Drosophila melanogaster: one gene and its partner. The protein of the gene in region 2 purifies or fractionates together with the protein of the main gene of each other region. This does not show direct contact. Each region holds a gene or a part of one and is shown on either strand. Other genes may lie near its edges.

The links. The genes of interacting proteins can lie anywhere in the genome.
Region 1: the proteins of Hs2st (region 2) and Hs6st purify together in Drosophila melanogaster (affinity purification with western blotting, with the first as the bait; one study listed by BioGRID). This does not show direct contact.

What each region holds. Positions count from the first base shown.
Region 1 is NT_033777.3:20,005,230-20,010,267, reverse strand, and holds the start of Hs6st (heparan sulfate 6-O-sulfotransferase), read left to right. Parts: upstream 1-1,755; 5' UTR 1,756-2,107; intron 2,108-3,608; 5' UTR 3,609-3,847; coding exon 3,848-4,033; intron 4,034-5,038. Other genes in the region: MED25 (mediator complex subunit 25), read right to left, coding at 1-1,208.
Region 2 is NT_033779.5:19,442,063-19,446,811, reverse strand, and holds Hs2st (heparan sulfate 2-O-sulfotransferase), read left to right. Parts: upstream 1-2,061; 5' UTR 2,062-2,192; coding exon 2,193-2,319; intron 2,320-2,384; coding exon 2,385-2,703; intron 2,704-2,761; coding exon 2,762-2,900; intron 2,901-2,960; coding exon 2,961-3,181; intron 3,182-3,264; coding exon 3,265-3,508; 3' UTR 3,509-3,979; downstream 3,980-4,749. Other genes in the region: RanGAP (Ran GTPase activating protein), read right to left, coding at 1-136, 214-715, 786-1,467, 1,527-1,626. UniProt on the Drosophila melanogaster protein: Catalyzes the transfer of sulfate to the C2-position of selected hexuronic acid residues within the maturing heparan sulfate (HS).

The DNA of each region.
Region 1 (5,038 bases), on a different chromosome or scaffold from region 2:
GTCACAGTTTGGTTCGGCGGCGGCGCATTAATGCGCGATATCAGAGCAGAATTTGGATTCTGTTGCATGCCGCCGCCTTGGCCCACACCGCCCACATTGCCTGCTCCCTGCATGAAGGGCGGACGCGCCTGACCAGGCTGGTTGGGATACATCCAGCGGTTTTGGCCGGGTCCCACGTTTTGCTGGAAGTTCTGATTCTGCATTTGATTGGAAACGAATTGATTCTGCTGCTGCTGCTGCAATAGTTGCTGCTGCTGCTGTGGATTGAGTAAGCCCGCTGGGGGATTTGGACCGGGCTGCTGTTGCTGCATCGTGTTCATGTTCATGACCTGCTGCTGAGGATTGCCTTGTTGTTGCTGTTGCTGCTGCTGTTGTTGTTGCTGTTGCTGCTGCTGGGCTGGAGTGGTGTCCATGGGCATGCCCTGCCCTTGTTGTTGCTGACCAGCTTGATTTTGTTGCTGTTGTTGTTGCTGCTGCACTGTAGCCTGTGCCGCATTGGGTGCAGCCATTTGGGCCGCCATGCTGTTGGGACTAGGTGCTCTCTCCTTGAGGCTGTATCCCTTTAGAAGCACTAGGTGTCTTATGTTCTTGGCATAGTTTTTGCTCGTAATGGGCTGATCTCCGTCGGCCTTCATGAAAAGTTTGAACAACACCGGCATCTTGCGTGGCGCAATAATGGAGAGATTGATTTTGCGCTCGTTGAAGAGCGCCGCCAGCTGCTCACATGATTTGCCCGGATACTTCCACGACTCCGTTGTGGGCATCTGGTACGGCGGACTGTTGCAGATGAGAATGCAGTGCCTCTGGACGCTGGTCTGATCGAGCAACTGGCGCCTTTCGCTGATGTCATCAAAACAGCCGTGGGCCGCAGCAAATCCTTCGGCCATGTGGGCACAGGACTCCATTCCGCCTCCCACTAGTGGCAATCTTTCGATCGTCTCCATCACTTTTTGGGGCTGCAGAAAGGGACCATAGGTTGAACAAACTGGCTCCAGCAGATTGGCCGCTGTACGGTAGACCACAATACCGTACAGAGTGGCAAAGCGCTCCGCAATCAGGTATTCCCGCTCGTCGATGGAGCCAGTGGTGAAGTGCTCCAAAGTCGGCAGGATGTAGTTGGTCTTTAGTTCGTTGATGTAGGCTCCGTTGATGGCGCTGCCCTCGATGACGAAGACCACGTCGGCCAGGGGAATCTGGTCCACCTCCATTGGACGATGGGAGTTGGCTTTAAGTTGAAAAACTTGTTGCAAAAAATGTAAACTATGTTGTCTGCTTTACACCGCTCTTTTACTTTTTTCGTTTGTTTTGCATATCGCTCTGCTGCTATCGATAGTCAACTTATGGTTATCGCTCAGCGATTGCTAGGGCTGCAAAATAAATGAATATTCAAAAGTGCCCATAAAGTTGGATTTAAGAATATGCAGATTGCCTTGAAAACTTGTTTCTATTGAATTCTTTTTCTATTTTCACAAATAAAAAAACGTTTGGTGTTTATCTAATTAACTTAAAATTGAATATTGCATACAAAAGATAACTATAAATAAGATATTACGATGTTTTATGTTAGGTATCATAATTATAGTTGTTTTATGTATGTATTTTCAATGGAACTATAAAGTTAATTCTTTAAATATTCGTTACCAATAGTTTATATCGATGGTTGCAAGTGCTGCCAGACTCTCGCAGCGAGTTTCCGTTCGGCAGTCTGGCAGCGCGGTCAGCTGTTCCTATTGCCCAACTTGCGCAGTTCGTTTTGTTCAGTTCATTCGCCGATTTTGAAGAATGCGGACGTTGACGCTGGTACCGCGTCGTTTTGCCAAAATAATTCGTAAAAAATATACGCAAAACGCTTAGAAAGTGTCAATTAACTAAACATTAGCTATTGAGCAGTGCAAGTGCAGGAAAAACGATCGCAGAAATAGCCGAAAACACATGAAAGTGCGAATTGCGGGCTTTTTTGTGGCTGGCACAGAATGTGTGGCACAAAGCGGAAAGCGCGCTAATTGAGCGTGCGAGCGCCTGAAACGCAGAGAAATGTAAATAAATAAACGTGTGACGCCGCGACAATTGTGAAAAGTGCACAAACACGACGTTTGGCAAGTGAAAAGTGAGTGAAATCTAGATAAATTTCATTAAATTGCCCATTTCGCATCTGGCAAGAAGAACAGCTGTTGTTTGGCATCTCGCTCTGTCTGGTTGTCCTCTCTCTTATTTTGCCCTCTCTCTGTTTTTGTTGCTCCCCTTTGCTTCTGTTTTTTTTTACTGCAATGTTGCTAAATCGTTTGATTCTATTATTATAATTATACTCCTTGCCCTGACGTCACTGCCTCGAAAAACCTGATAATTTGGGTAGGCAATTAGCATGGTTTAAGTATAGTTTAGAGTACAGAGAAGTGAATTAAACGGCCATGTGTGCACAGCATGCATGCTTTTTTGTTATTGTTGCCTGGCAACATGTTTCGCCACATCTGCCTTTTTTTTCTTGTCTCTCTGTTAGTCCAATTTGCCAATAAGCAACTTTTCCATTTGTTTACAATAATTGTGATCGCTACAGAAGCACCGATCGTGAAGTAAAAAGCGCCTACATAAATATAAGGCACCAGTTATGCTTGGGCGTCACTCCGACTGCCGATCGCCAGTTATTTTAGTTGGGTGTTTGTACATTTAAATACCCTACCTAAATGCAACTTACTCGCATGTAGTCAATATCATTCAAACCCTAATATGTTACGCATTTTCCAATCGGGTTTATCACATATAAACAATATCGAAGCCAGATAAAGCGACTTGTGATAATAATCACCCATACAACAAAGGCTGTTCATTCATTATATTTACCATATTATTGATAACTATTTTTATAACTGAACTACAATATGTTCTTATAAATAAAGAATCACTAGATAATTTAAATATTAAATGAAATAAGTACAAACTATTTTTTAACTATAATAAGTTATTATTTGAGTAATTGCACGTATTATCATGTACGGATGTAGGTTTTTTGCTTTAAATAATAAACGTATTTAAACGTATTTTTAATTGATTAAGGGTATACTAAATGCATTGCTTTCGGCTCCGCCATTCACTTTCCACTATTGCGTCATTATTGGTTGATTTATGTATTTTATCGTTACGCTATACATTTGCAGATCGCATTCGCGCGTGGAAATTTAATTTAAGATTTCCCACACAAATAAAGATAAATTTGTTATTGCACAAACGTTTGTTATTCACGCCCGTCTTGAATACTTACTAATAGATTTGCAATTAAAATAGGGTCAGATTAAACGATAAATCAACTTCACCGCCTGCTTATCAGTTTTTGACCCTAACAAAAAAATAGAAAGTCCAATTAACTATGTATGTACGTTTTAATTGTGAACTTCTTATCAGTCTGCCATAGATTTAGGTTCTTAAAAACTATTTTTGATTTTCCCCTGAAGAGCTTTCAGCTACTAAGTAAGTGGCTAGATAAGGGCTAGACAATTTGACAGACCGCTTTATCGGCATGGTCAAGTGGTAACTAATCGGAAACGGTGTTGCTTTTGTAGTGCTCCCAAAACTAATAGGTTTCTAACCGTTTTTCACTCTTACTCCATTTGCAGGCACTGAAAGCCGAGAGACAAGGAAAACCCATTTCCGCGCCAAGTGCAATGGGCGAAGGTGTTCCCATTTTTCGAGTTCTTATCGGGCAGCGACTGAAGTATGATTGAGTTGGCCTCGCCTCCGATTCGCGTCTGGTTCTCGTTGCGCTAGGCCGATACGGATACCCGCTTGGACTCCACTCGGGTGGACCCTTGTTGGACCTTTAGTGCGATTTTCGAGGGAGGCCAGGGAATGGAACATGCCCGGGGATATGCATAAGAACGTATCTGTTCAAGTCGATAGTGATTTTGCCTTATTGCTGCCCAGTGGTGTTTATGAAATCAAGAAAATGGAACCGCGCTCCAAAATCCGAACAATCATTGTGTTTTGCCTCTTCCTGGCCATCGCCGGCATCATCGGATTTGGATACTTTTGTCAAGATCAGGTAAGTGCCAAATCCCCTCATTAATTCCCATTGCTTATAATTTATAATTTTCTGTTACTTGGCTCCAATGCAAATTAGCACACCAATTGGCGAAATGCTGAATTTATTCATTAATATTTGCCGTACATGTGTGCTTTTATTGGAATTACCATTCATACATTTTTGGATCGCACGAAACTTGTTTTGCTATGGCGCATTAATAAATTTATTATTTAAAATATTCGTATAAAAATATGCGTTGGAGTGTTTTTCCCTTCGGCGCTAAAGACAGCTTTTATAATATAGAACTCTTTCTCGATGTTTATCAATTTTTTGGGAGCTTTAATTAGACAAAACAAAATGTTTTGTTTACAGCCTTTCGGTTGGCGCCTTTAAAACTCGGAAATTGTTTACGCAAACGCAAAGGTGCTAATGAAATTCCTCCAAAAATGGAAAATGTGTAACATAATAAGATTTCGCTTGCAGGCGATTGTGCTTCTGTGTTATTATTCATAAATCTTTGACACGCGTGCCCCGTATTGAAATTAGTCTAATCTGTAGCATAAAGTTTACAAACAACTATGGATTTCTGGTTGGTATATTTGGGTCACTACTCATAATATCGCCCATAAATCTTCGGCGTGGTTGATTGAAATTTGTCTTATCTGTTGGACTAATAAGGCTTCCCCCCGCGCATCTAATGAATGATTTAATGGCCGAGGTGTAAAGTGCATTCGTGGGCCATAAAAACCGAACCGAGGCAAAACAGCACATAAAATTCTACCCTGGGGACACATAAACCCGCACCAGTCGCTATTCCTTCAATTTTTGCTGCCTCGCGGTGTTCATATACTTGCGTACTTTGGATATATTTAACTATTAATCCAGCTCGTGCCAGTCACGTCTAAAAAAAGCCACGATGAAATTGTTTGAAGAAGGTCATCAATTGCCAATTGCAGGCGAAACAAAAATTTAATATATGTACATACATAAATACATACGCCTCGATGAGTTCTATCATATGTG
Region 2 (4,749 bases):
CTAGCGAATCGAAATCTTCCTGGGAGCAGGGTTTCTGGCTCAAACAGAACTTCTCTGGAGTGCATTTTTGGCTGATCGTCTTGTTCGCGACCGCAAAAGTTTCGCTGGCCATCGAGTTGGTTGTGTCGTTAAAAAGCTGTGAAAATTTAAAATTAAAGATAATTCGATTAATTGCTGTTACCATTTGCACAGTACTCCGAAGTATAAACTAACCTTGGTCGTGTAGGCATTCGTAGTGACATAGGCAGTCTCCTCCGCGACGTTGCTGTACTCCTCGTCTCCCTCGTCTTCCTCGTCGTCCTCGTCGCCCTCGCTATCCTCATCTGCTTCTTCGGTAGTATCGTTGGCGTGCTCGTGTACTTCCTCTTCCTCTTCGTAATCTGCGTCCTGCTTGTCAGCCTGGTATTCATCTTCCAAATCCTCCTCTTCCTGGTGCTGAAACGGTTGCAGTGCGGCAGCAGTTGGCAACTTACTCATCTCGCTGATTATCTTCTCGCTGCCTTCTTCTCCAAAGCTATTGCCATCTAGATTCAAGATGCGTAGCTTGGGCTTGTTTCCCATAGCATTCACCAACACCAAGCCGCCGTCGCTGTTGATTTCGTTAAAACCTAAGTCGATAACTTCCAGTCGTTCGTTTCCTCTCTCCAGAGCCTCACCGAAGTGGTAGGCGCCATTAGTTTTGATCAGGCAGTCTCCAAAGCTCATTTCACGCAGCCTGCAAAGCAAAAAGATATCACATAACACTCACTCACTCTCCCTCATCAAAAACTTTATAACCGACTCACAGTGGCAAGAAGGGAAGAGCCTCAGCTATTTTTTCAGCTCCCTCGGACTTTAGAGTATTGTCGTTCATGTTTAGCACTCGTAGATGAGGATTATGCTTGAAGGATTCGGCAAGGGCCTCGACGCCTTCGATGTAAATGGAGTTTTGCTCCAGAACAATCTCCTCGAAGGTCTTGAGGGTTTGGAATGCGGTTGCCATTTCCGTAGCACCGGCATCCTCGAGACGATTGCGCGAACCTATGAACACACGCAGCTGGAGCGGGAAGCCCGCCTTGTTGGCATTGGCATGCAGATCGATCAGAGCCCGGGACAGCATACTACCGCCCTCGGGACCAAGGCCACAATTGCACAGCAGCAGCTCCTGCAGCGAGTAGCAGACCGGGGATCGCAGTAACTCCTCTAAGCCTCGCATGCCATTCGGTCCTAAGGCATTGTCGCTGAGATCCAGGACTGTCAGTTTGGCGCCCGCGACAATTAGCGCGGCTCCCAGGTGCTTGAGTGCCTCCGGAATCTCCGATATGAGACGACCAGTAAACATGTTCTTCCACAGCGCCTTCCGAAACTCTGGATGACGCTTCAGACCCTCACCAATCGCCTTGGCGGCCTCAACGCCCAGTGTGTTCCCGTCCAGATTCAGATAGTGCACGGTGGTCTGTTTGTTAAGGGCATCCACCACATCCTGGACTGTAAAAAGCCTCAATATAGCCACTGCATGGAGTACCCAAAGCGTCACCCAAACTTACCATCGGCAGCTGTGTTCCAGGAAAGCACCTTGTTCTCGAATGATATTCCCTGCTCCTGGCCCAGTTGGGCGGCCATGCTGGCGAAGTTAAAGGTGGACATGCTTGCTTTTAAATGGAATTATTTTATACGAGTGTATATAAGTCGCACTGTACTTTGCGATTGCAGCCGGCTTGCGAAATTTATTTTAACCTCGCAAAAATGGGCGCTAGAATTTTGGCATTGCTTGGTATTATTTGCCGGCAAGGGTGGTCACACTAATAAAAACAGTGATGCTCAAGGCAAAAGGGTTGCTGAAGGGTGATGCAGATCTGGTTGTGACTGGCCTAAAATATTCTGTGTTGTGTTTTAGGAAAAACATATTTATTGAAGTTATAAATATAAGGCAATTAATTTACGGATTCCTAGCTGGAAATTAAATGCAATTATCCGAGCTAGCATTTTGAGCTATTTTCCATCACTAATTTAGTCATCTCAGCTACAGCTGCACATTCCCACAGATTCACCAGATTTCAGTGCCTTGCAGCACTGTCCAGCAGCTGCTGACCAACACTGCTCGATGTTGGTTGCAGAAAAAAAACAAGGAAAACAACGACCTGAGATTATGCTGAAATAAATACGCTGATATGAGCTACCGTGCTGACCTGTAGGGCAAACCGACACGAGGCATGTTTAGGAAACTGCTTAAGATGTGGATTCTGCTCCGACCCACCCACTGGCTGATCCTGATAGCCCTGTGCGCGGTCACCTGTGCAGGTTACTGGTTGCTTTGGTCAGAGATTCGCCTGGAACATGGTAAGTGGAGTCCGGTAGTTAGGCAAAACCATATCACTTTTACACCCATTACCTACTTTGTGCAGCCTTCAAGCCGCTTTCCAAGCTGGGCGATTCTCTGAGCCCAGATCAGCATGCCTCGTCCACCACCGATGACTTTGACTTCGAGGAGCACCTAGTGGTGCTTTACAATCGCGTACCGAAAACGGGATCCACCAGCTTTGTTAACATAGCATACGATCTGTGCAAGCCCAATAAATTCCATGTGCTGCACATCAATGTCACTGCCAACATGCACGTCCTCTCGCTTCCCAATCAAATCCAATTCGTGCGCAATGTTTCCAGGTGGCACGAGATGAAGCCAGCTCTTTATCACGGCCACATGGCCTTCCTAGACTTCTCAAAGTAGGTAACATCTAGCCAATCCAGCAGAGCCCGTCTCAATTGCATTACTCCTTTGCAGATTCCAAATCGCCCACAAGCCCATCTACATCAATTTGGTGCGCAAACCGCTCGACAGACTTGTCTCCTACTATTACTTTCTACGCTTTGGCGACAACTACCGACCGAATTTAGTCCGCAAGAAGGCGGGCAATAAAATTGTAGGTAGAGCATCAAGGTATTAACCTCCCTGTAACCAAAGCCCTCACACATCTTTGCAGACCTTCGATGAGTGCGTGGTGCAGAAACAACCCGACTGTGATCCCAAAAACATGTGGCTGCAGATACCCTTCTTCTGTGGCCATGCAGCCGAGTGCTGGGAACCCGGCAGCAGTTGGGCCTTGGACCAGGCCAAGCGCAATCTAGTCAACGAATACTTCCTAGTCGGAGTCACAGAGCAGATGTACGAGTTTGTGGATCTGCTCGAGAGATCCCTTCCAAGGTGTGCCTCCCAACCATATGTTATTGTCTGTTTTAGAATACTCCAGTTGCTTCATTGACCTGTTCTTTTTTTTTCTTTTGCAGAATTTTTCACGGCTTTCGTGAGCACTATCATAATTCAAACAAATCTCATCTGCGGGTGACATCTTCCAAGCTTCCGCCCAGCGAATCGACAATTAAATCCATTCAAAAGACAAAAATCTGGCAAATGGAAAACGATCTGTACGATTTCGCGCTGGCCCAATTCGAGTTCAACAAGAAGAAGCTCATGCAGCCGGACAACAAGCACGTGCAGAAATTCATGTACGAGAAGATTCGGCCCAAATGATTGCAGAGGAGGCGACGGAGTCGCAGAGCGAGGATTCGGCCGACTCCAGTGATCTAACCAGGAGTCTCCGACAATTGTATTGTAAATACGTAATTCTCCTTCGCATAGATTTGATCTGTACTTAAGAGTAACTCATCCGTACACTTAAGCGCTACCTAAGACTTTAGCATTGAATATCGTTGACATATTACTAACCCAAACCTTTTGTACGTAGTCTAAGCTTTAAACGTATAAAACAGGCGAGAACGCTTTTGTAGTTCATCGTAAGCAATATCTAGCAACAATTGTCTGCACAATATCTCTATATGATTAGTCAAATGTACGTTTTATACTCGACAATACAACGGAATGAATGGATGAATTGAATCGATATGCATACGTAGAACTAGAAATAGGTGTAAATTCATATGTAATCGACTCTCATTGTTTGTAACTCTCATAGGCTAGGCCATAAATCTGAATTTGACATTCAAATTAAATGCATGTAAATACCTAATAGATAATGGAGTGTCTGTCCGTCTGTCTGTCTGTATGTCCATGTGAAGCGCGCTGTGCGTATCAACAGCTGTCGCTGGGATTGCGTGTTCGTAAATTGATTAATGCCATCAGTGGGTTACTTTTAACTTTCAGCGTTCTGTACTTCGACTTAGCTAATTGCACTTGGCTGCCCAACGAAATTCCGCCGGACTTTAAAGGCTGACGTAGCTCCGTGCTCGAAGGTGATCGTCTGACTGGAGGACGGAATGACCGAATGGCTAAATGGCGGAATGGCGGTCCGACACGCAGAATGGGCTCAGGCAAGCGCAAGAAATGGCATGGAAATACATTTGGAAACGGCGAGCAGTGAAATACTTAATTAATTGCTCGTGCTTGAAACTAAAAGCAAATGAGCTCGAATTACCCACAGCCCCCGTCAGTCAGTTGATCACTTGATCGTGGAACGCGGACACGCCAGTCGAAAGAAGGTACATTAGCTAGTGTCCGGCAGAAAAGCAGAAAGTTACTGTTGTGTCGAACGGGAGGAGTGATAGCCAAAGCAATAACTTACACACTTACGATCCGTAAGAGGGATTACAAACTCGTTTTTCACTCAGTCACAGTGGCGAAGGCGATTAGTCTTTAAACTACTCGTGTACGGAGCGTTCAAAAGTTCAAGTCTAATTGCATCCAAGTCGCGTAACCATCAGAAGATTAACCACGATACACTGTGCGAAACGCTCAGAACACGCACTTAATATAAA